Linked DNA regions of Arabidopsis thaliana. The protein of the gene in region 4 purifies or fractionates together with the protein of the main gene of each other region. This does not show direct contact. Each region holds a gene or a part of one and is shown on either strand. Other genes may lie near its edges.

Region 1 (5,333 bases), on a different chromosome or scaffold from region 4:
AGGTATCGGAGATGGTTGAGGTTCTCACGGCGACGTCTAGTTCTTGCTCTTCGGGAATCTCGGGATATGGATCAGCAAAGTCGTTGCGAGATATGGATTGTCTTGATGAAGATGATGATGATGATGAAAATTATGGTAATGATGATGGAGGTGATGAGATGATTGATGCGAAAGCTGAGGAGTTTATTGTGAGATTTTATGAACAGATGAGGATGCAAAATCAGGCTTATACAGAACGTTACAAAGCTAAAGAGATGATGATGGTCTAAATCGCACATTGTAATTCTATTCACTGAAGCATAATGTCATATTACATGAGTATACATATATGCATGGAGACGTGCACAGAGTTTGTCTTTGATTATTTCGATGATTTTTTTTTTTCGTCTATTATTTCGATGATTTAAGTAATGATATATATATTGTATTCAGTTAGTCTTGATTGTATACTTTTATAGTAGACGATGAATTTGTACGCAAACTATATTAAAATATATTTATAAAACTGATGTCATTTTGGTTTACTATATATCATCTTCAAGTCATAATGCTAGAACCAAATTGCAGCTAGCTTCTTGTGAGTGATATAGTAGATGATGAATTTGTACGCAAATTATATACATGACTCTGAGCTTCTTTGGCAGTTTTCCTAGGGTGTCATATACATGACTCTGAGCTACAAGCCTTTGTTGTTGTCATATTTCAAGCAATTCGTTTTTTTCTTTTTTTTCTTTTGAACCAAAAACCCAATAATGAGTTAAGTAGAAGTTTATAATTCACTTATGGGTACAATCCAATATAATTTAGAATTTTCCTATTGGTTTGAGAATCCAATTTGCTTGAAGAGAAAATCAGAGACATGGAAGCTAAAGAAGAGAGATTAGAAGTTTATGATGTGGAGAGTAAATTGAATCGGTTGCAATTCGGTTTATTATACTAGATTTTTGGTTTGGCATTAGGTTTATGACGTTAACCTAATAATAAACTACAAAATTTGGTTTTGTGGAGACTAAATTCTCTAACTTTCGATTTAGGAGGATATAATAATTTACCTTCTATTTTGTGTTGACTGTAAACGAAGTTCTAAATCTGTGTAGTTGTGGTACTATGTGAAACTGCGTAGGGGAATAGAGGTCGTTCACTCAAGTTTATAAGATGGCACAAATAGAAAGAAATCAATTTAGTTGTTCTCTCATTTGAAAGGAATTCAAGCAATATGGTTGTTCTCGTCTTTCCAAGATGCATTGAATAGTAAAGCATCTAATTAGTAAAGTTCTCATAATGCTCAGTTGCTCACATTGATCTTTTTACCCCTTTTAATTAGAGTACAGTCTTGTAAATTACGTTGTTTTAGCCAAGTTTGGCCTATGTAATAATTTATTTGGGCTTTAAAAAGCCTCTTCAAATTAGAGTATTGCTGCTGCAGAAAAAGAAAAGAATATTTGCGTGGAGAAAATAAAGGAAAACAAATCCATAATTAGTAGTCGGTGTATACATACCTAAAAAGGCAGAGAGACGTTAAGATTCAAATTTCAAAAAAGAAAAAAAATATGAGTGGCAGGTTCGTTATTAATGATAAAACTTAGGGGCAATATTGGATTAACAACAAGTCTCCTGAATCGTGGCCTCCTAAGTACACGCTCTTGTATAAATACACTCGCATCAAACTCCAAAACCCTTATCACTCTCTCATTAATCGAACTTGGCGTGTTTAAATAATCTTCCGATCGTTAATTCTCTTCCGATTTCGATTCGATTTTAGCGGCGATGTCTCTCAGACCTAGCGCGAAGACGGAGGTGCGACGGAATCGGTACAAAGTAGCGGTCGATGCGGAGGAAGGACGGCGGAGGCGAGAGGATAACTTGGTTGAGATCAGGAAGAACAAGAGAGAGGAAAATTTGCAGAAGAAGAGATTTACGTCTTCTATGGCTTTTGGCTCAGCAACGGGACAAACGGAACAGGATCTTTCTTCAGCGAACCAAGTATGTGATTCTTTCTTTTGTTTACGATTCCACCTTTAGTTTTTTCTGATTTTATGTTCCGATTTGATCAATTAGATCGTCTCTGTTTCATATGAATTTCTAATTGGAGATCGATTTGTTCTAGATTTGAAGTTCTTGCGATGTTTCTTTGTTTTTGGTCATAGATTTTGTATTTGATTGCAAAAACTTGCGATGTGTATGTGTTGTTTGGTGAGAGTATTTGTTACTAATGTCTGTTTAATTGACTGGGAATTTGAGCGGTGTTGAATTTGACATGTAAAGAGAATTAGGGTTGATATCTCAACGGAGATCATCAAATTTACTTTAGCTAGAGGAGATTTTTGACTATGATAGTGTCTCTTCGTGTTACAGTTAAAAGATAATCTACCTGCTATGGTTGCTGGAATCTGGTCAGAGGATAGCAATTCACAATTGGAGGCAACAAATCTCTTGCGGAAACTGCTTTCTATTGGTTTGTGATTTATGTTATTGATCGTTACTAGTAGTACATAACAATCAGTGTTTTGGTTAGAGTCTTTAGCAGTTGTTTTTTCTTTTGTAGAACAAAATCCTCCTATCAATGAAGTTGTACAATCTGGTGTTGTTCCTCGTGTTGTGAAGTTTCTTTCCAGGGATGACTTCCCCAAACTTCAGGTGAGTCGCAGCTGCAGTCGTTTTTTTTTGGATATATTGATAGTTACTAGTTTGATGTATTTGTTAACTTGCTTTTGCTGTTTACTTCTGCAATGTGTTTTAGTTTGAGGCAGCTTGGGCGCTCACCAACATTGCTTCAGGGACATCAGAGAACACAAATGTCATCATTGAAAGTGGAGCTGTCCCGATATTCATCCAACTTCTCAGCTCTGCTAGTGAAGATGTCCGCGAACAGGTATATGTTTAAATCCTCACTGTTATCGTTATTGTCACAGAAGAAACACTTAGACATTAGGATCAAGTGGAAATTCATTGAGACTGTTACCATTCTGAGTTCTGGTCTTTCCCTGACTGAGTATAGGCTGTTTGGGCATTGGGAAATGTTGCTGGAGACTCACCAAAATGCCGGGATTTAGTCCTAAGTTACGGTGCCATGACACCTCTTCTGTCTCAATTCAATGAGAATACAAAGCTTTCAATGCTGAGAAATGCTACATGGACATTATCAAACTTCTGCAGAGGGAAGCCCCCACCCGCATTTGAACAGGTTTCCTTAAATATACACACTTTATTGAATCTCCACAATATTTTTTAACATGCTTCTGATATTTTGTTACTTAAAACATTTTTCGAGCAGACACAACCAGCTTTACCAGTTCTTGAGCGCCTTGTGCAATCAATGGATGAAGAAGTTCTCACAGATGCATGCTGGGCTCTGTCATACCTCTCGGATAATTCAAACGACAAAATACAAGCAGTCATTGAAGCAGGAGTTGTTCCTCGCCTCATCCAGCTCTTAGGGTAAGCATCTGATAGTGATCATTTTAATTTTTATTGCCAGGCATGATTATGTTATCTGATTTATGTGCTTCCTCTTTCTCCGTATAGTCATTCGTCGCCATCAGTGCTGATTCCTGCTCTTCGTACCATTGGAAATATTGTAACCGGGGATGATCTACAGACTCAGGTGCATATAATACATTCACCATTCGATTTCGAGTTTTCAGAAGCAAATGTCTCTAACTTATTTTCCTAACACAGATGGTTCTCGACCAGCAAGCGCTTCCTTGTCTTTTGAACCTTCTAAAAAACAATTACAAGAAGAGTATCAAGAAGGAAGCTTGCTGGACTATCTCCAACATTACAGCTGGAAATGCAGATCAGATACAAGTGAGTTTTGTTTATAATATATGGCATTTAACAAGAAAGTCGAAAATTGAAGTTTCCTGTGTCTGATTTTATTCGAACCCGTATGTGCAGGCAGTGATTGATGCAGGTATAATCCAGTCTCTTGTTTGGGTGCTTCAAAGTGCAGAGTTCGAAGTAAAAAAAGAAGCTGCTTGGGGAATATCAAATGCTACTTCTGGTGGCACTCATGATCAAATCAAGTAAAACCATAAAAACCGAAACGAAATGTTTCCTTAACAAAGAATGGTCATTTCTAAAACACGTCTGTGTTTATTGTTTGTTTCTTCTCAGGTTTATGGTGAGCCAAGGCTGTATCAAACCTCTATGCGATCTCCTTACTTGCCCAGATCTGAAAGTTGTAACGGTTTGCTTAGAAGCACTAGAGAACATTCTCGTGGTTGGAGAAGCAGAGAAGAACTTAGGTCACACAGGAGAAGACAACCTCTACGCTCAAATGATTGACGAAGCAGAAGGGTTAGAGAAGATTGAGAATCTTCAGAGTCACGACAACAATGATATCTACGACAAAGCCGTGAAGATCCTCGAAACATTTTGGACTGAAGACAATGAAGAAGAAGGCAACGACGAGAATCATGCTCCACAATCTGGTTTCCAGTTCGGAAGCACCAATGTTCCTCCTGGTCAATTCAACTTTATTTGAAAGGTAAAATAGTTGAATTGGGTCATAGAAGTTGCTTGGACTTTTAAGTAAGCCACATATCGAACGAAAGTGGTAACATCACAAAGATGAAATATCAATCTTCTCTATCTCTTCATGCCCACTCCTTAACTCGTGGACATGAACTATGAAGAAACATAGTACGATTTTCTTTTCTTTTTGGAAGTTTGTCTCAATAACTAAATCATTTGGGGAAGAGAAACAATTATTCTGTGTTAGCCATCATCTCGTCTTTCAACAAAGTTCCCTTTTTTCATATATTAGTGCCATTACAAAATCGTAGTTATGCCTTAACTAAACCAGAAACATTTTTATTCAATAGTTAATCATTTTTACTCGCAATTTTAGAAAACAGAGAAGCTAGAAATAGTAATATACGCTTGTGGAGGTTTGAGGCAACGGTCAAAACTTCAAGAGCAATATACGCATGTGGAGTTTTTATTGGGTACTTTGGTGTCTAATTACAAATAGGAGAGATTAGTGGTGATTAAGTGGTTATTATCATGGTCATAATTTCTATATGCGAGAAATTAGGGTTTAGGCTATGTGACTAATTCGTGTATTTAAAACACTCTCATTGTTTTATATCCAACAGACAACAAGAACAACAACATAGCCAGATATAATGCTGTCTTCACCAGCTTTTGCTGCAGCACGTTCTACTCTCGGTCGTCGTCTTCATGCGAAGAGACTATCTTCTTCTACTGGTCGAACCGCTGATCCAGAGATTCATGCCCGTAACGATGGAGACGAGCCTAGTCTTTTTCCATCAGACCCCGAGGTATATTTTGACTTTGTTGTTTATATATGTCAAGCTTAGCTGTCACAA
Region 2 (5,274 bases), on a different chromosome or scaffold from region 4:
TAGTATATAGAAATAAGACAACACTCAGTCACTCACGACTCACGAACAAAGTTCATCACCTTATCTTTTTATCTTTATCTTTATTTACTTTCAAGATAATAAAAGGTACGATGTTCTTTGTATGAACACAAAATAAAAAGAAGAAAAGAATGTTCTTATACACGTGTAATATATGAAAAGAATCATCCAACTAACTCCATTAACGAACTCTCGTCACATTATATATTTTACACATCATCGTTTAATAGACACTATACGAAAACAGTATAGTATTTCTAAAAAGACATCCGAAAGAGAACCTGCGAATCTTGGCCTTTAAGCAACCTTTGGCTGAAGCAATTCTTCTATCCTCCTCTCCTTTTTCATTTATTTATCAAATATACTCCAGTTTATTCTTTTCTTCCCACTTTCAATGCCTCTCATATATGTAAAACAAATCAAAGTATAATAACTCTCAAAACATGTAACTTCGATTCCTATCTATTAGAAATTGACGAGAGACATGTCGAGAACAAGAGTGCGAGCTGTGACCCATCAAGATCTTGTTCCAAACCCTAAAACCACAGATCTCAGCAGCAAAACCGGTATTTTCATCGCTGTTTTGACAATAATCTTTGGCCTCTCCTGCTTTGTTCTCTGCCTCTATGCCGAAGCCACAAGATCTCAGGTACATTACTATACAGGGATGTATATAAACTTTCTCTCATATGTTTTCATCATTTATATTTTCAAAATAAATCAGAAATCTATATTGATTCATGTTTTATATTAATTACCATATCGTTCGATTATAATAGTATTTAGTATAAGTTATATCATTGCCATTAATATGTTGTCAATCATTTGCAATAGGCGACATGGGGAAGCAAAACATGCGTGTATAATGGTAGCGGGAAAACGCCGTTGTTGTGTGGTGCGATTGCGTTTGTGGGACTAGCGGTGGCGATGGTGGGCTTCCACATGTACTTACTTATCGCAGTCACCACATCGCCGTCTCTGGTTCTGGTTGAGTGGGATCCTGACTCTGTTCCTGCGAAGAGGCTCACTTTTCAAGCTGCCTTCTTCTTCGTCTCAACATGGTACGTAGACTTATTCTAACGCAACGAATTAATGTCATGTAGTTATAAAAAATAAAATAAAAATAAAAAAATCCTAACTATAAGCAATCGTGAAATGACATATTTATGTTACTGACCATAGCTTAAGTTAATGATAATTTTGTGATTATATTATTCTTTTTTGTTCCTATAAGGGTTTGCTTTGGTGTTGGAGAGGTTCTACTGTTGGTTGCACTTAGTGTGGAATCAGGACATCTAAAGAACTGGTCTAAACCAAAACCTAGTTGTCTAGTAATCCGGCAAGGCTTGTTTTCAGCGGCCGGAGTGTTCTCACTTATAACCGTCTTTCTAGCCACGGGACTTTACCTAACCGCTCTTCAAGCACATCGAATCTCTAAGGATCTTGAAAACACACATAGAGAGATCATCGAGGCATCAGTTCTTTATGCATCTCCTCCAAGATCGCCTACAAATCGGATGGCTACGGTTGCTCGAGAAGGTCTTGCTACTGTTAGAGATGAATCGACGTCTTTGGAATATCTTGTTTCTTTAAAGCAACTTGCACATATAGTATAGTGTACAATGTATAGTAGTTAACATAATCATATGAGAAAAAACAATGTTTTTACTTCTTACATAAGCAATTCAAAATCACAAACCAAAACCTACTTTTTCCAATCAATACATGAACTTTACCGGAAAAGTAGGTTTTCCTTCGCCGGAGAAAACACTACACATCTAACGAGTAAACTCTGCAAATATGGTTCTTTTTATCGTCGGTAACGAGTAACTAAACCAACTTCACGGTTTAGTTCGGTTTAGATTCAAGTATTTTAGCTTATAATAATTATTGACTAATTATTTCAATTTGGAGCTCTTAATAATATGATTGTAAACTTTATCTTAAATTTAGATTATCAATGATTTATGATTCAATCTACTGTATAAATACGGTTAACAATTAAAAACGATAATTAGAAAACCCTCCCGCTTCTTCAAATTGAAACTGTTGTCGCTTCTTCTTCATCTTCACCACTCTTGCATTCTCTTCTTCACTTTGCAAATCCCATTCAGTTCAAATTTCTAGGGTTTCGCTTCGATTTTGTGAATTGATTTAGAGAGGTCGAAGAATCGAGAAAGCTATGTCCTTGCGACCGAGCACGAAGACAGAGATCCGTCGAATCCGTTACAAAGTCTCTGTAGATGCGGAAGAAGGACGCAGAAGAAGAGAAGACTTTTTAGTCGAGATTCGCAAGAGTAAACGCAACGAAAATTTGATGAAGAAACGTCGTGTAAAAGTTTTGCCTCCTGATTACAAGTTGATTTCCAACGACCCCTTTGAGAGTTTGGTAAAAGTTTGATCTTTGGTTTTGGATTAGTGAAACCTAGGTTTTGAAAGATACGACCTTTATCATTATACTCGAATGCTTTCGAATTGGGTAATTAAATTAGATCCTCTCTGGTGATGGTTGTAGTTGGAGATAGCGAATATGATCACTGGGGTTTTCTCGGATGATCCTTCATTGCAGCTTGAGTACACAACTCGGTTCAGGGTGGTTCTATCATTCGGTAAAACTCTTTACTTTTCTTTGATCTTGAGTTGAAAAAGATACGAACTTATATTTACTTGAATGGTTTCTTAAAGTCTTGTGGTTTTATATATTGTTCAGATAGAAGTCCACCTACTGATAATGTGATAAAATCTGGAGTTGTGCCACGTTTTGTAGAGTTTCTTAAGAAGGATGATAACCCTAAGCTTCAGGTTAGACTTAAAGTTCCCATCTTTGATGATTAGTGTAATCTTTGGTTCTGAATTCTTTGATCTTTTTTATAGTTTGAGGCTGCTTGGGCTTTAACAAACATTGCTTCTGGCGCATCTGAGCATACCAAGGTAGTGATTGATCACGGTGTTGTGCCACTCTTTGTTCAGCTTCTTGCTTCCCCTGATGATGATGTCCGTGAGCAGGTATAGTGCTTCTTCTGAGTATGAATGGTTAAATATGTGAGTTCAAATTTTGAAGAGTTTGATGTTACACTTAATTTGCAGGCTATATGGGGACTGGGTAATGTTGCTGGTGATTCAATACAGTGCCGTGACTTTGTTCTTAACTCTGGGGCATTTATTCCACTGTTGCATCAGCTGAATAACCATGCTACATTGTCGATACTTAGAAATGCGACTTGGACTTTATCAAACTTCTTCCGTGGCAAGCCTTCACCACCCTTTGACCTGGTATTCTTACTTCTCTATTTCCTCAGTTTTATAGGTGCAATACTTAAACTTATGAAACATGATTTATAGGTGAAACATGTTCTCCCTGTACTTAAAAGACTTGTTTATTCGGATGATGAACAAGTCTTGATAGATGCTTGCTGGGCGCTTTCGAATCTGTCTGATGCTTCAAATGAAAATATCCAAAGTGTGATCGAGGCGGGTGTTGTCCCAAGACTAGTTGAACTTCTCCAGTTAGTACTTCTCTCCAAATATTAAAAAATTTAACCGTTTGATACATGTTTGGATAATGAAGGCTCGCCATTTTTTTCTTTTGCAGACACGCTTCTCCAGTTGTACTTGTTCCTGCACTTCGTTGCATTGGGAATATAGTTTCTGGAAATAGTCAGCAGACTCACGTATGTAATTCATATTCCTTTGATGGAGCCTTCAAGAACACGTCTCTTGTACACCGTGTGAATTTATTGTTTTTCAAAGCAATAGCACTATCAAAAGCTTAATTTGTAATCCTGTATCTTGGATGATTATATCCTGGAGAACACTTCATTTATATGTTGCTTGAGTACTGTGTTGAGATTAGATTTTGTAACCAAATAACTCTTTGAACTTATTTTTCAGTGTGTGATCAATTGTGGTGTTTTACCCGTTCTTGCTGACCTGCTTACTCAAAACCATATGAGAGGCATAAGGAGGGAAGCTTGCTGGACGATTTCAAACATCACTGCCGGTTTAGAAGAACAAATTCAGGTGAGCATGAGTTTGTGATTGTTACTGTTGCAGAACTTGAACAATTTACGTTGCTATCACTAAATATTTTCTATTTGTCTTTCTTGCATTGATGATGATAACAGTCGGTTATTGATGCAAATTTGATTCCATCGTTGGTCAATCTGGCACAACATGCTGAATTTGACATAAAGAAAGAAGCTATATGGGCAATTTCAAATGCTTCCGTGGGTGGTTCTCCTAATCAAATCAAGTACATCCCTGTCTTCTTTCTTTATCACTTTTTTCATGCTTATTGATCATCTATATTCACAATATCCATTGGTGTGTATCAGATACTTGGTGGAGCAGAATTGCATAAAAGCTTTATGTGACATCCTGGTTTGTCCAGATCTAAGAATCATCTTAGTGTCTCTAGGTGGACTGGAAATGATTTTGATTGCTGGAGAGGTGGACAAGAACCTAAGAGACGTGAACTGTTACTCTCAAATGATTGAAGATGCAGAAGGGCTAGAAAAGATTGAGAACTTGCAGCACCATGGCAACAATGAGATCTACGAGAAGGCTGTGAAGATTCTGCAAACATACGGGCTTGTAGAGGAAGATGGAAGGTTAGTTGAAGAGGAAGATGAAGGTGGTGATGGTTGTTCTCATCCGGAATTCCAGTTTGATTTTTCTCGTTAAGATCCCACATAATCTGATATTAGATTTTGATGTAAAGAAATAGCTGTCATATTGAACCAAAAGCATGCACATAATATGATGGTCCTAAAAGACAAAACAATGTGGATTCCAACAGGAAGTGGAACTTGGTTCTCTAACAGCTACTCATCATATTGGAATCAAGTTCCACTTCCTGTTAGAGAACCAAGTTCCACTTCCTGTTGGAATCCACATTGTTTTGTCTTTTAGGAAAAAATTTTACTCAAATTTACCGAACTAACGGTCAAAATTAAGAAAGGGTTAAATTATTTGTTTACCGAACTAACGGTCAAACTTTAAAGATGGATTCAGTTTTTTTGACGCGGGACGGATTTGTTTTTTTTTTTTTCTTTCGAAATGGATGGGCTCTTATGCTATGGGCTTTGGTATAACGTAAAAGGCCCATATATTCCGAAACCACTTTGTGTTTCGTTTCCATGGAGAAATTGAATCATCGAATTTGGTCGCCACTTTGAGAATTTAGATGAATTCGATAACAAGCTCAAGTAAGAAGGTGCAGAGATGCTTTATTATTTCTTCGCTCGTTGTTAACTC
Region 3 (6,319 bases), on a different chromosome or scaffold from region 4:
TTCATATCTGGCTCAATCTCCGCGGATACAAGCAGTGCGAGGTTATTATACAAACCTCTTTTTCTCTAAAGAATGAGGTTCTTGTTCTATAGCGTTATGTGACAATTTCGTTTTCGATTAAACTTCAATTTCTGCGATTTTAGAAAGAATATCAAAGTTATTTACTAGTATTTTGTTATGAGTGATGTTTTTGGGGATTATATTTGTGTCATGGTGTTGGGATTTTCGATTTCTTCTCTGTTTCTTGTAATATGGGTTTAAGAAGAATCTCGCACACCAAATGTTTGATGAAATGCTCTCTGTTTTCATTGTAGGACGCTCCAGAGAGACTTCCAGTTCACGAGTTTCTAATACGTGTTTGTGTTAATGAGAGCATCACCTTACGTGAGAATGGTTGTTCCTTGGGCTATGGCGTTTATCTTGAACACATACTGCCTTTCTTTACATCCTTTGGGCCAAGAAGTTGTTGTTGGGTTCAAGAGAGATTATGGAATGTCTACCAAGTCCGCATGTTTCTTAAATGGCCTGTTATACAACGGTCATCTTGTGTTTTTCATGAGGATACCCATACACGAGCCCATTATCGCGAGACATCCTGCTGGGTTTCAGGCTGACATCTTGATTAAGAATGTCTTAGGAGATGGGTTTGTGCTTGTTTTATGGAAATATAACAAGATCGTTTGTGAGTGGTATTATTCTCTATTGCAAAGCTTCTTCGGGGAACCTCCTAGGCTAGTTGGTGTTGCTGTTCACGAACTTGGAGCCATTGGACGGCTGCTTTTCTTTCTGGATAACAAATCTTTTGATGTAAGTCTAATGTCCCTTCTAGTTCTCTTCCTTCGTCCACCCTATGTAACTTAATTACCATATGGAGCATGTTTTGAATAACAGGTTCTGTTTGTTATCTTATCTACAGGCTCTTACCATCAGCATATGTGTGTCTTTCTTCTTTATTCTTCTGCCGTTTTCTTTTCGCTGGATTGCAATAGCAATTGTAGGAGGTGGCGGTTTATTCGAAAACTCACCTGTCATTCTTGGATACATGATGACGCTGTCAATTCCCTTTGCCTACTTAGGAATTTTCCTCACTCTGCGTCAAATCTCGTTTCCAGCCATAGTCAGGTGGTTTTCCTTGGGATATCACTTCATAACAAAGAAACTGTCCTGCCTCCTGAGCAAAAATCTCGTTTCCTGTCAACTGTTTCGCGACTAAGGCATGGCGGGGAAAGTTCAAGAGAATCAGAAACGTGGGAATCAATAAGCTTCCTTCAATGTGGCTGCTTCAAGATGTGATTGGTTCGATCATAACCACACTTCTAGCCACACTCTGCATCCCTTACTTGCTCTTGAAGTCTTTGTTACCTCTGCTTGGATTTTCCCGTAGCGCCAACCCAGCTATTGAGCCGTTTATCTGGCCGGCGTTGTTAGCCTTGATTGCGGTCTGGTTCATGGCCAAGCAAACTTATGATCTCGTCAGTTACTTTCATAGGTTGGTCTTCGATGATCGGTATGTAGTCGGTTAAAGAGTGGACAATCTGACTGAGGATATCTCGCTAGAGAGAAATAACTAATCCATATATGACAAACAACGACTTTTCATTGGAAAGGAAAAAATGTATAAACACAAACGTAGATTCAAAACTCAAAAAGTTATATAGTAACCAAGGTCTATATACGTTAATATTAAGATAATCGCAGTCCACTTGTAAGTCATGAAAACAAAAGGATCTTCAAATTGTTGAGATATAAAGAAGAATACATTAGCTTGCCTCAAAGAACACAATAGTAAGGGGCTAATTATGTAAATAACCTAATTGTGGACACCTGTTTGCATAAATAAATAGTGGCAAAACTGTAAATAAGTGAATATTTTAGCAATTACAGTATAAATTAAGAACAAAGATTAAAAATAAATAAAAAAGTGCTTTCATTCTTTGGATGCGCTGTTGTCAACTTGTCCCTCGCTGCCTCTGCTTCTTAACTCTTTCTTTATCACTTTTCCACTCCCAAATCAATTTTTAGGTTTTTTTTATAATTATAATTTATTTGCTCTCGGCAGGATCTATATAATACACAGACCAGTCTTTGCGTGTGCTTGTGTGCATTCATTGATCGGGTTTATATCTTTTCATCGGATTTTCTTTGTCGAGCAAGAGCCATGTCACTGAGACCCAACGCTAAGACGGAGGTTCGCCGGAACCGATACAAAGTTGCAGTGGATGCGGAGGAAGGACGACGGAGGAGAGAAGACAACATGGTTGAGATCCGTAAAAGCAAGCGTGAGGAGAGTTTGATGAAGAAGAGACGTGAAGGTATGCAAGCTCTTCAGGGTTTCCCTTCAGCTTCCGCCGCCTCCGTCGATAAGAAGGTACAATTCTGGTTTTTAGATGATTCGATTGTACTCCTTGTTGTCGGTTTTCTAGGTTTTTGTTTGTGATTTTCATGTCGGCTTACTGAGGTTTTAGGGTTTCGTTTTTGGGTTCTGGTTACGGTAGTTGTCTTGTGATTGATTGGCTTTAAAAAAACATTTGTAGTTGGATAGTCTGAAGGATATGGTCGCTGGGGTTTGGTCCGATGACCCTGCCTTGCAGCTTGAGTCCACTACTCAGTTCAGGAAGCTTCTCTCTATTGGTAATTCCTTTTCTTAATTCTCTTTTATTTCCCGTTTTGATATAATTTGGAGTGTCCCCTTTAACTTTTGTCTCTCTGTCTCTATTATAATTGCATAGAGAGAAGTCCTCCAATCGAGGAAGTGATAAGTGCTGGTGTTGTTCCTAGGTTTGTTGAGTTTCTTAAGAAAGAAGATTACCCCGCCATTCAGGTGAGATAATTAATGTCTCTTATTGATTCATTCTTCACTGTAATCTTCTCTTCTCATCTTTTATGATTTTTATTTTAGTTTGAGGCAGCTTGGGCTCTAACAAACATTGCATCTGGAACATCGGATCACACTAAGGTTGTAATCGATCACAATGCTGTTCCAATCTTTGTTCAGCTTCTTGCTTCCCCTAGCGATGATGTTCGTGAACAGGTATGGAACTTCTGATGACTACAGAATGTCTTCTCATTTATTATGAGAGATTATGCAATTGAAAATTTTGTGAAACCCTGATCTTAAGATTTCGCTCTAACCTGCAGGCTGTATGGGCTTTGGGTAACGTTGCTGGTGATTCACCACGGTGCCGTGATCTTGTTCTTGGATGTGGGGCACTGCTTCCGCTGCTCAATCAGCTTAATGAGCATGCTAAATTGTCCATGCTTCGAAATGCCACTTGGACCTTGTCAAACTTCTGTCGTGGCAAGCCTCAGCCTCACTTTGACCAGGTCTATTTTTTTCCCCTCCAAGCTTGTTTCGTCAATGTTTATGTCTAGTATTCTTCTAACATATGAAGCATGTTTAACAGGTCAAACCTGCTCTTCCCGCCCTTGAACGACTAATTCATTCAGATGATGAAGAAGTCTTGACAGATGCCTGTTGGGCTCTTTCTTACCTCTCTGATGGGACCAATGACAAAATCCAGACTGTCATCCAGGCCGGTGTTGTCCCAAAACTTGTTGAACTTCTCCTGTCAGTACCATTTTATAATTCCCTTATTTCATGTCCACTTCACACATTTGTTGACAAATAACTTGATACCTTGCTCTTGATTTTTAGCCATCATTCTCCATCTGTGCTAATTCCTGCTCTTCGCACTGTTGGAAATATAGTTACTGGAGATGATATACAAACACAGGTATGGATCTAAATCCTGTCTATTGAATTTCTCACAGTATTTCGGTTTTGCACATTGTATATGATAGTATATATTTTTCCTACTATGCCAAAGAATATCTTTGTGGTTATGCAATTCTTTGGCCTTTAGGAATAGGTCTGAAGATACCACTAGAACTTTTCATTAATTGAACCGATAGCAAAAACATGTCGAAGTTAGTGATATACCATGCATATCATCTAATCCAAGACTGGTAATTGCGATGAGGTGTTGTTCAAATGTATGGCACCCTGTTGCTATTATTCATATCCAACATTTTATGTGAAAAATGGGAGTATTGAATGCTTATCATGAGATTCTCCCTCTGTTGCCACTCTGTCCATATTAGCAGATAGGATGCAGTGCCTTTTTTGCTATATATTGCTTGTGTTTGAGTTTTGTTACAATTAATTCTTGTTTTAAAGTTTAAACCAACAACATGCACAAATTTTTTGCTTGGTGAAATTTGGTTTTTCATGAGTTTAGCAAAGGTGATTTTTCTATATCTGAAATAGTTTACATCGTTTTACTTGGAAATCTGATTTTACTTCTTCTCCAGTGCGTGATCAATAGTGGTGCTCTACCTTGTCTTGCCAACCTGCTCACTCAAAACCATAAGAAAAGCATAAAGAAGGAAGCTTGCTGGACGATTTCAAACATCACAGCAGGCAACAAAGATCAGATCCAGGTAGGCAATTAGTACTGTTTCATCATATGTTTTGTACCGTTTCCCATCCAGACTTCTATACCTATTCATTAATTGTGTTGTTTTTCCCCTGATGGTTGCAGACGGTAGTTGAGGCTAATTTGATTTCCCCGTTGGTGAGTCTGCTTCAAAATGCTGAATTTGACATTAAGAAGGAAGCTGCATGGGCAATTTCAAATGCAACTTCAGGTGGTTCTCATGATCAAATAAAGTATGTCACTGTCTTTTTTGCGTTCCTCTAACTTCCAGTTTCTTCTCTCATATATATACTTTGTGTATATATATATTGATGTTCTGTTCCCGTTGGTTATACAGATACCTGGTGGAGCAAGGGTGCATAAAACCATTATGCGATCTCCTGGTTTGCCCAGATCCAAGAATCATAACTGTCTGCCTTGAAGGATTGGAAAACATTTTGAAGGTGGGAGAGGCAGAGAAGAACTTGGGTCACACAGGAGACATGAACTATTACGCTCAGCTGATTGATGATGCAGAAGGGCTAGAAAAGATCGAGAACCTTCAGAGCCATGACAACAATGAGATCTATGAGAAGGCTGTTAAAATTCTGGAGACATACTGGCTTGAAGAGGAAGATGATGAGACACAGCAACCTCCAGGTGTTGATGGTTCTCAGGCTGGGTTCCAGTTTGGAGGGAATCAAGCTCCAGTACCATCCGGAGGATTCAACTTCAGCTGAAGGTAAATAAAAGTAAAAATTCTTAAATTTCTAACAACGTCTCTTGATGAAAACATGCAAAATCTGATATTTAGATCAATATAAACCCACAGGAATGGAATTGGAAGCTTGCAACTTGAGAATGGTGAAAGGTCAGAGTCAGTCAGAGTCTAGTTTCACTGCCATGGTTATACTCCAGGTCTGGTCTGGTCTGGTCTCAGAGGTTTGTACCGGGTGGTCGGTTTAAAAGTACAGCGTCTGAGAAAGTGTTTGGTTCATTGTCCAGGGCTATTTTTTTGAAATGACTGGTACACCGGTCGTGAGTCGACCTTTGTGTTGTTTTTAAATTTTGGAGGGTTATAAAAACTTACAGTGGAGTCTTTTGTTTTTGTGTTGACAACAGTTTGTATGTCGGTTAAAAAATTGAAACCATAAACCCTTTATTGGTCTTAATATGTTTGGTGTCTGATTTCCTAAGGAAAGGTTTTTTTTTTTTTGGTCAAACCTAAGGAAGGGTTTATCTTCGAGTTATAAAGACTCGAATCTTTATTTGAATTATGAAGTAAAGTATACATAAAACAGCAATAAATTATTATGAATTTGACTTTACCTGAGCAAGTAAATTGTAAAAAGACAAGAACTAATGAACTATTAGTATATGTCCAGTTCAATTGCCTTATCGTCTAAAACCCCTCAAAAGCTAAAACTGAAATCATTTTGAAGCAGAAATCGATTTCCAAAATGGCTCTTGTTCAATCCAGAACTTTTCCACACCTCAACACTCCGTTATCGCCGATTCTATCCTCCCTCCATGCTCCGTCTTCTCTCTTTATCCGGAGGGAAATCCGACCGGTAGCCGCGCCGTTCTCCTCCTCCACCGCCGGAAACTTGCCCTTCTCGCCGTTGACGCGTCCGCGAAAGCTTCTCTGTCCTCCGCCTCGCGGCAAGTTTGTCAGAGAAGATTATCTTGTGGTACGGACAATTTCTCGCTTTCTCTCACGCTCCAAACAACATATTTTGTCGATTTCAAAAAATTTCATGTTTGTTTTCGTTTTACGACTTCCTTTTTCGCCTTTCTGGGAAATTAAGTTGGCTGGGCATAGATGTAGTTATTATATAAGAACGATATATGGTAGTTCTATCAAAGATTCGACCAGTACACTGTTAAATACTTCAGAATAGAGA
Region 4 (5,073 bases):
TTAAGGACAGTCACATTTCCACGGCAAATTACTCTTCCACACGGAATTTGGAATCCCCTTTCTCACAAGGTGGTGAATATTATACCATTTGAAGCTGTTTAGTTTTGATCATTTCGGTTTAGATAATGTTAAATCATTTCTGAATCTATTGTGTTCTTAGTGAAATTTCAAAATGTCAGGTGTTATCTTGGATTTTTGTTTTAATATAGTGTTTGTGTGTTTGAGTTGAGTGGGTGATGATTTTTTTTTTTTTTCAATTTTTGCTGTTGAACTAGGTTATTTGCAGAGTCTCTTGAGATCAACCTATTCCTCAAGACCACTGTATTATCATCTACAACAACTGGTAATGCTTCTGAATCGATGTTTCTTTTGTTTTCTATTGAGACTGGAGTTTCTCGTTTCCTCTTTGATAAATTTGCTTTAGTAATTTAATATAGCAAAATTGTTGTTAGTGGGATAGGGGAAGTGATTAAATGTGCTAGTGGAATGACTACATCTGTTATCTATCTGAATTATGCGAAAAGACACATCTCCTGAAACCATTCATCTGTGGAGAACTATGTTATCTATGGGTATGCTGCTTCATTCTTCTCTGATCTAAATCTGTATGTTTTCAGGGAATTTCTACCTCAAGACAATTGCAGGCGGGTGAGGAGCCTGTATCATCACCTTTGTCATCTCCAGCTCTGCTGGGTAGTGGAAAAGAAGAAGAGCAGAAGATTATCCCAAAGCGTCAGAAAGTTCAGGCTGTCCTCAAGTCCATAAAGCAGGTGTGTTCTCTCTAACTCCTAGTACAGTTTTACATTTTAGATGATATGTATACATCTTGATTTGTTATATGCGCTATATAATGTGCCCAAACCTTACTTATTGCAGAGTCCTAAGAAGGTCAACTTGGTTGCAGCACTAGTCCGTGGCATGCGTGTTGAAGATGCTTTGATGCAATTGCAGGTCACGGTCAAACGAGCTTCACAAACTGTGTACCGGGTAATCTCTGAGATTCGAGTTCAGAAACAAATCACTTTTAGAGTGTCTGGTCTACTCTCCTCTCGAGGCATTTGATACATTTCCTCATCTAATGATACTTAGCATACAACTTGGTCTCATAATGTAGGTTATACATGCTGCGCGGGCAAATGCTACTCATAACCATGGACTAGATCCTGACCGTCTCCTTGTTGGTATGTATACTACTGATCTACCGGATCTGTGACTGACTTGTTTTGCAACACTAAAGAAGGAAACATGATATATGTCAGAGAAGGATGTATAATTCATCTAAGTTCTTTTGATATGTGTGATGCAGCGGAAGCGTTTGTTGGGAAGGGACTCTTTGGGAAGAAGGTAGCTTACCATGCAAAAGGAAGAAGCGGGATAATATCAATACCCAGGTGTCGTCTAACAGTCATAGTCAGAGAGACGACTGCAGAGGAAGAAGCTGAGATTGCAAGGCTGAAAGTTCACAATTTTAAGAAGCTAAACAAGCGGCAGAGACAGCTGGTACCACACAAGTTGATCGAGACAAGTCCAATCTGGAACCGCAGAGGTACCAAAGGCAATCACAGGTCATCTGAGTTGGTACCGTCTCACTAAGTATCATTGTTCCGGCAACTGTAACGAGAGCTTCTCTTTTATGGTACTTGTTTGTATCGGTAATTGGTTACTATTCCATTCAATAGATATGTTGCCAGAGACAGGAACCAAAAGAAAAGTCATTTTTCAATTTATATGAATCGAAGAAAACTGTAATCTTGTAAACATAATTAACACGAATAACATATTTTTCAATGTGACCTTTTGTGCATAATAAAATAAAATAATTGAAGTCACACACAAATGTCGATAAAAATAAAAAAGTTGAGAAAGAGAGAGAGATACAGAGCTGGATGTTTTTTCCTCTATAAACCTCTTTTGCTTTCTCTCTTCGTCTCTGACCACTTTGGCTCCGGCGTTAGTTTTTTCCCTCTCTGCTACTGCTGCGGCTCCGGCTCCTGCTACGGTAAGTCCTTGCCATTTTCTCGTCACCGGTCACTTTCTTCGAATCTTAGGTTTCTTCATTATCGGGTTTATCGGAAATGGTTTGTCTCAGGGTTAGCTACTTTGATTCTAGGGTTTTGTCATGCTCTTGTTTGTTCTGGAAATAGTTTCCGGTCATTTCTTTTATTTTGGTTCTTGATAGTTGCTTTGATGATTAGGGTTTTTGGTATTTAACTCGTGTTGAGATCGAGTTTCAGATTTTTTCTTCACTCATCGAATAATTTCTGAAGATGCTTTGGGGTTTACTCGATTGTTGCAGCTAACAGGAGTTTCTCTTAAATTTGATAGGTTCCTAAAATCGAATTTGGGTTTTTGTTTCCTCCGATTTAAAATCTCTTTTCATCTAGGTTTATAGATTTGAGGATAATAACAAAGTCACTGATGTTGAATTTTTCATTGGTTTTAGATTTATAAGTCACTGTATTTGCATTTCTTATATCTAAGTTTAGCCCTACTTCTTCTGTTCCTTACCTTGGAGTGTTAACATATAATTAGCTGTCTTCTTTGAATACATTTTAAGGCTTTCTGGATATTTGCATAAGGTAACGAGCAGCCTCTGTAGTTTTCACTTTCCATTGCATTGTCATGTTAAAGCTTTTGTCTTCTTAGATTTGGCATTACTCATCATCATCTGTGGCTGCAAACTGATCCGGTGTGTGTGTTTTACCTTTGGAACGGTGTTTTGCATTGTAATGTTTTATCTCTGTTTTCAAAAATTGGATTTTTATCTGTTATTATCTTTGAAGGGTATTGTTTCATTGGACTTTCTTTGTTTGTCTGTGTTTTTTTATTAGGTATTTGACAAGTGTGTTGACATTCTCTCATAACAATTCAAATGGGTGACTCGGAAAACGTTCAGCAACCTTCAAAAAAGAGAGGTGCCTTGAAGCAGCTGTCTCGTGATAATCCAGGTCTTGATGATGATGATGATTCAGCTGAACTTGAGAGTGGAACTTTCAAGAAGGCCAGTGATGAGGTTTTGGCTAGTAGAAGAATTGTCAGAGTTAAGCGCAAAGAGCCATCTGCTGCTCCAGTTGCAGCATCCAATCCATTTGCTGGAATTCAGTTGGTCCCTACGACTGCACCTGCTTCAACCCCTGTGGGAACAAATGCACCTCTGGCTGAGTCAAAATTGGCTCCAGCTGAAGCAGTAGTTGAGGACAATCAAAAAGCAAGTGATATTGAGGAGGGCGATGAAGTTGACAGTAAGAAGGTTGATGTCAAAGATGCTGTTGGGGAAGAGACTGAAAAGACTAAAGATAAGGATGATAATCATTGTGGAAAGAGTGCTGATGTCCAAGTTGCGGCTACAGAAGTAGCTCAGATGGTCTCATGTGACACAAACGTTTGCAACAACGCTGTTGAAGGAACAGACCAAACTGATTTTCCTCTTGAGAAGGATTCAGGAGGTGATCAGGCTGAGAAAAAAGAAAAAGAAGGCAACGGAATTGAGGAAGCAGATAAGAATGGCGATAATGGTGCTTTCAGCTCATTCCAACAGCATTCAAGTAACAAAAACGCATTCACCGGACTTGCCAGTACAGAGGCTTCAGGGTCTTCGTTCTCATTTGGTTTGGTTTCTCAGGATGGTTCAACTGGTACTGGGTCTCTCTTTGGCTTTGGCCTTCCAAGCAGCAATAGCTCTTCTATATTCGGTGCAACTGGATCGTCCATTATCAAGAAGAGTGAAGGTAGTGGGTTTCCGCCAAAGCAAGAGGTTTCCACAGAAACAGGTGAAGAGAATGAGAAAGTTGCCTTCTCAGCTGACTCGATCATGTTCGAATATCTTGATGGAGGATGGAAAGAGCGTGGAAAAGGAGAACTCAAGGTAAACGTCTCCAGTAATGATGGTAAAGCAAGATTAGTTATGAGAGCTAAAGGAAACTACAGATTGATCTTAAACGCGAGTCTTTACCCAGAGATGAAACTTGCAAACATGGATAAAAAGGGAATCACATTCGCTTGTGTGAATAGTGTAAGCGAAGGCAAAGAAGGTCTCTCTACATTTGCACTGAAGTTCAAAGACCCGACAATTGTTGAAGAGTTTCGTGTAGCCATTGACAAACACAAAGATAGTAAACCAATGGAGAAAGCAGCAGAAAAATCAGCTCTTCCTCTGAAGACACCTGAGAACTCTCCAACAGCTACAGATACTTGAAGAAAAGGTAAAAAGAAAAAAAGAAAAAACATGTAGAAACACTTCTCTCGTCTCTCTCGTCTCTCTTGTCTTTTGTCTTGTCTTGTTACTTCCAAGTAGTTGAATTTTGAGGCAGAGGAAAACTAAAATATTTGGAGAAGTTTGTTGTTTTTTTTACACAGTTGTTGAGACTTTTTGGTTACATGTTTCTGTTTGTAGAAGGAAACCATATATGACTTAAATCTGCATCCTTGATTTCTTTTTATGTTCCACCATATGAATGTGACTGGACCAGATAGGTTTCAAATTGGTCCTGAGATTTTAAGGGCTTAAGATGTGTTCTTCAAATCGTAGATTAATCGTGTTGTCAATTAATCTGGATTTGTAAAGCTGGGTTTATAAAGATCGGTATAAAATTGATCTAAGATTCACAGAGTACAAAGTTGGTGGGTTTGGGTTACTGAGAAAATTTGACATGTGTTAGTACTGTAGTTATGTTGCTAGAGTGTTTTGATTAAAGAGGTTAGTAGTTGGGAAAAGCAGAGCCTGAAAATAGAAGTGAAACACGAATAAAACAGCAAAAGTTTAACAGAAGAAAGATGAAAGGTCAATGTTTTGAGAGTTACATAGAATGATGAAACATTGTTGCCAAACCAGGGGGTAGTTGAGACCTGCTGCGCACAGAGGTTAGTCATCAGAACCAGTATCTTCTATGCCCTTACACAGTGAAAGGTGTTTCCAAGACACTATGTACTTAGCACACATTACCGCCGTCAGACATTCATCATCAGGTAAAGTCCTATCAGGGATTGTTGCAAAAAGTTTGAAACCTCTATATCTCAAACCTTGAAGAAATGGCCAGAATTGATCATCTTCTGAACTGGCATTCGCGATTAACA

What was found.
Region 1: the proteins of AT1G52380 (region 4) and MOS6 purify together in Arabidopsis thaliana (affinity purification with mass spectrometry, with the first as the bait; one study listed by BioGRID). This does not show direct contact.
Region 2: the proteins of AT1G52380 (region 4) and IMPA-5 purify together in Arabidopsis thaliana (affinity purification with mass spectrometry, with the first as the bait; one study listed by BioGRID). This does not show direct contact.
Region 3: the proteins of AT1G52380 (region 4) and IMPA-1 purify together in Arabidopsis thaliana (affinity purification with mass spectrometry, with the first as the bait; one study listed by BioGRID). This does not show direct contact.

What each region holds. Positions count from the first base shown.
Region 1 is NC_003075.7:950,037-955,369, reverse strand, and holds MOS6 (ARM repeat superfamily protein), read left to right. Parts: upstream 1-1,679; 5' UTR 1,680-1,767; coding exon 1,768-1,983; intron 1,984-2,355; coding exon 2,356-2,455; intron 2,456-2,545; coding exon 2,546-2,637; intron 2,638-2,740; coding exon 2,741-2,872; intron 2,873-2,998; coding exon 2,999-3,184; intron 3,185-3,274; coding exon 3,275-3,438; intron 3,439-3,525; coding exon 3,526-3,604; intron 3,605-3,678; coding exon 3,679-3,807; intron 3,808-3,897; coding exon 3,898-4,025; coding exon of another isoform or gene 4,026-4,029; exon of another isoform or gene 4,030-4,116; coding exon 4,117-4,486; 3' UTR 4,487-4,824; downstream 4,825-5,333. Other genes in the region: AT4G02160 (cotton fiber protein), read left to right, coding at 1-269; AT4G02140 (uncharacterized protein), read left to right, coding at 5,130-5,285. UniProt on the Arabidopsis thaliana protein: Binds to conventional NLS motifs and mediates nuclear protein import across the nuclear envelope. Acts as a cellular receptor for the nuclear import of the virD2 protein of Agrobacterium, but is not essential for Agrobacterium-mediated root transformation.
Region 2 is NC_003076.8:19,991,443-19,996,716, reverse strand, and holds IMPA-5 (importin alpha), read left to right. Parts: upstream 1-2,044; 5' UTR 2,045-2,200; coding exon 2,201-2,407; intron 2,408-2,533; coding exon 2,534-2,627; intron 2,628-2,728; coding exon 2,729-2,820; intron 2,821-2,892; coding exon 2,893-3,024; intron 3,025-3,105; coding exon 3,106-3,291; intron 3,292-3,360; coding exon 3,361-3,524; intron 3,525-3,610; coding exon 3,611-3,689; intron 3,690-3,909; coding exon 3,910-4,038; intron 4,039-4,142; coding exon 4,143-4,270; intron 4,271-4,352; coding exon 4,353-4,701; 3' UTR 4,702-4,771; downstream 4,772-5,274. Other genes in the region: AT5G49320 (transmembrane protein, putative (DUF1218)), read left to right, coding at 503-667, 853-1,079, 1,253-1,634. UniProt on the Arabidopsis thaliana protein: Binds to conventional NLS motifs and mediates nuclear protein import across the nuclear envelope.
Region 3 is NC_003074.8:2,118,401-2,124,719, forward strand, and holds IMPA-1 (importin alpha), read left to right. Parts: upstream 1-1,943; 5' UTR 1,944-2,158; coding exon 2,159-2,368; intron 2,369-2,534; coding exon 2,535-2,631; intron 2,632-2,729; coding exon 2,730-2,821; intron 2,822-2,899; coding exon 2,900-3,031; intron 3,032-3,138; coding exon 3,139-3,324; intron 3,325-3,404; coding exon 3,405-3,568; intron 3,569-3,655; coding exon 3,656-3,734; intron 3,735-4,311; coding exon 4,312-4,440; intron 4,441-4,541; coding exon 4,542-4,669; intron 4,670-4,773; coding exon 4,774-5,155; 3' UTR 5,156-5,157; exon of another isoform or gene 5,158-5,167; intron 5,168-5,247; 3' UTR 5,248-5,766; downstream 5,767-6,319. Other genes in the region: AT3G06710 (E3 ubiquitin ligase), read left to right, coding at 367-807, 917-1,213; TRX z (Thioredoxin z), read left to right, coding at 5,876-6,106. UniProt on the Arabidopsis thaliana protein: Binds to conventional NLS motifs with high affinity in the absence of an importin beta subunit. Mediates nuclear protein import across the nuclear envelope in vitro in the absence of exogenously added importin beta subunit.
Region 4 is NC_003070.9:19,507,107-19,512,179, forward strand, and holds AT1G52380 (NUP50 (Nucleoporin 50 kDa) protein), read left to right. Parts: upstream 1-1,845; 5' UTR 1,846-1,999; exon of another isoform or gene 2,000-2,831; 5' UTR 2,832-2,872; coding exon 2,873-4,195; 3' UTR 4,196-4,535; downstream 4,536-5,073. Other genes in the region: AT1G52370 (Ribosomal protein L22p/L17e family protein), read left to right, coding at 1-69, 276-343, 618-770, 877-987, 1,115-1,181, 1,307-1,593; AT1G52390 (uncharacterized protein), read right to left, coding at 4,862-4,891, 4,943-5,073.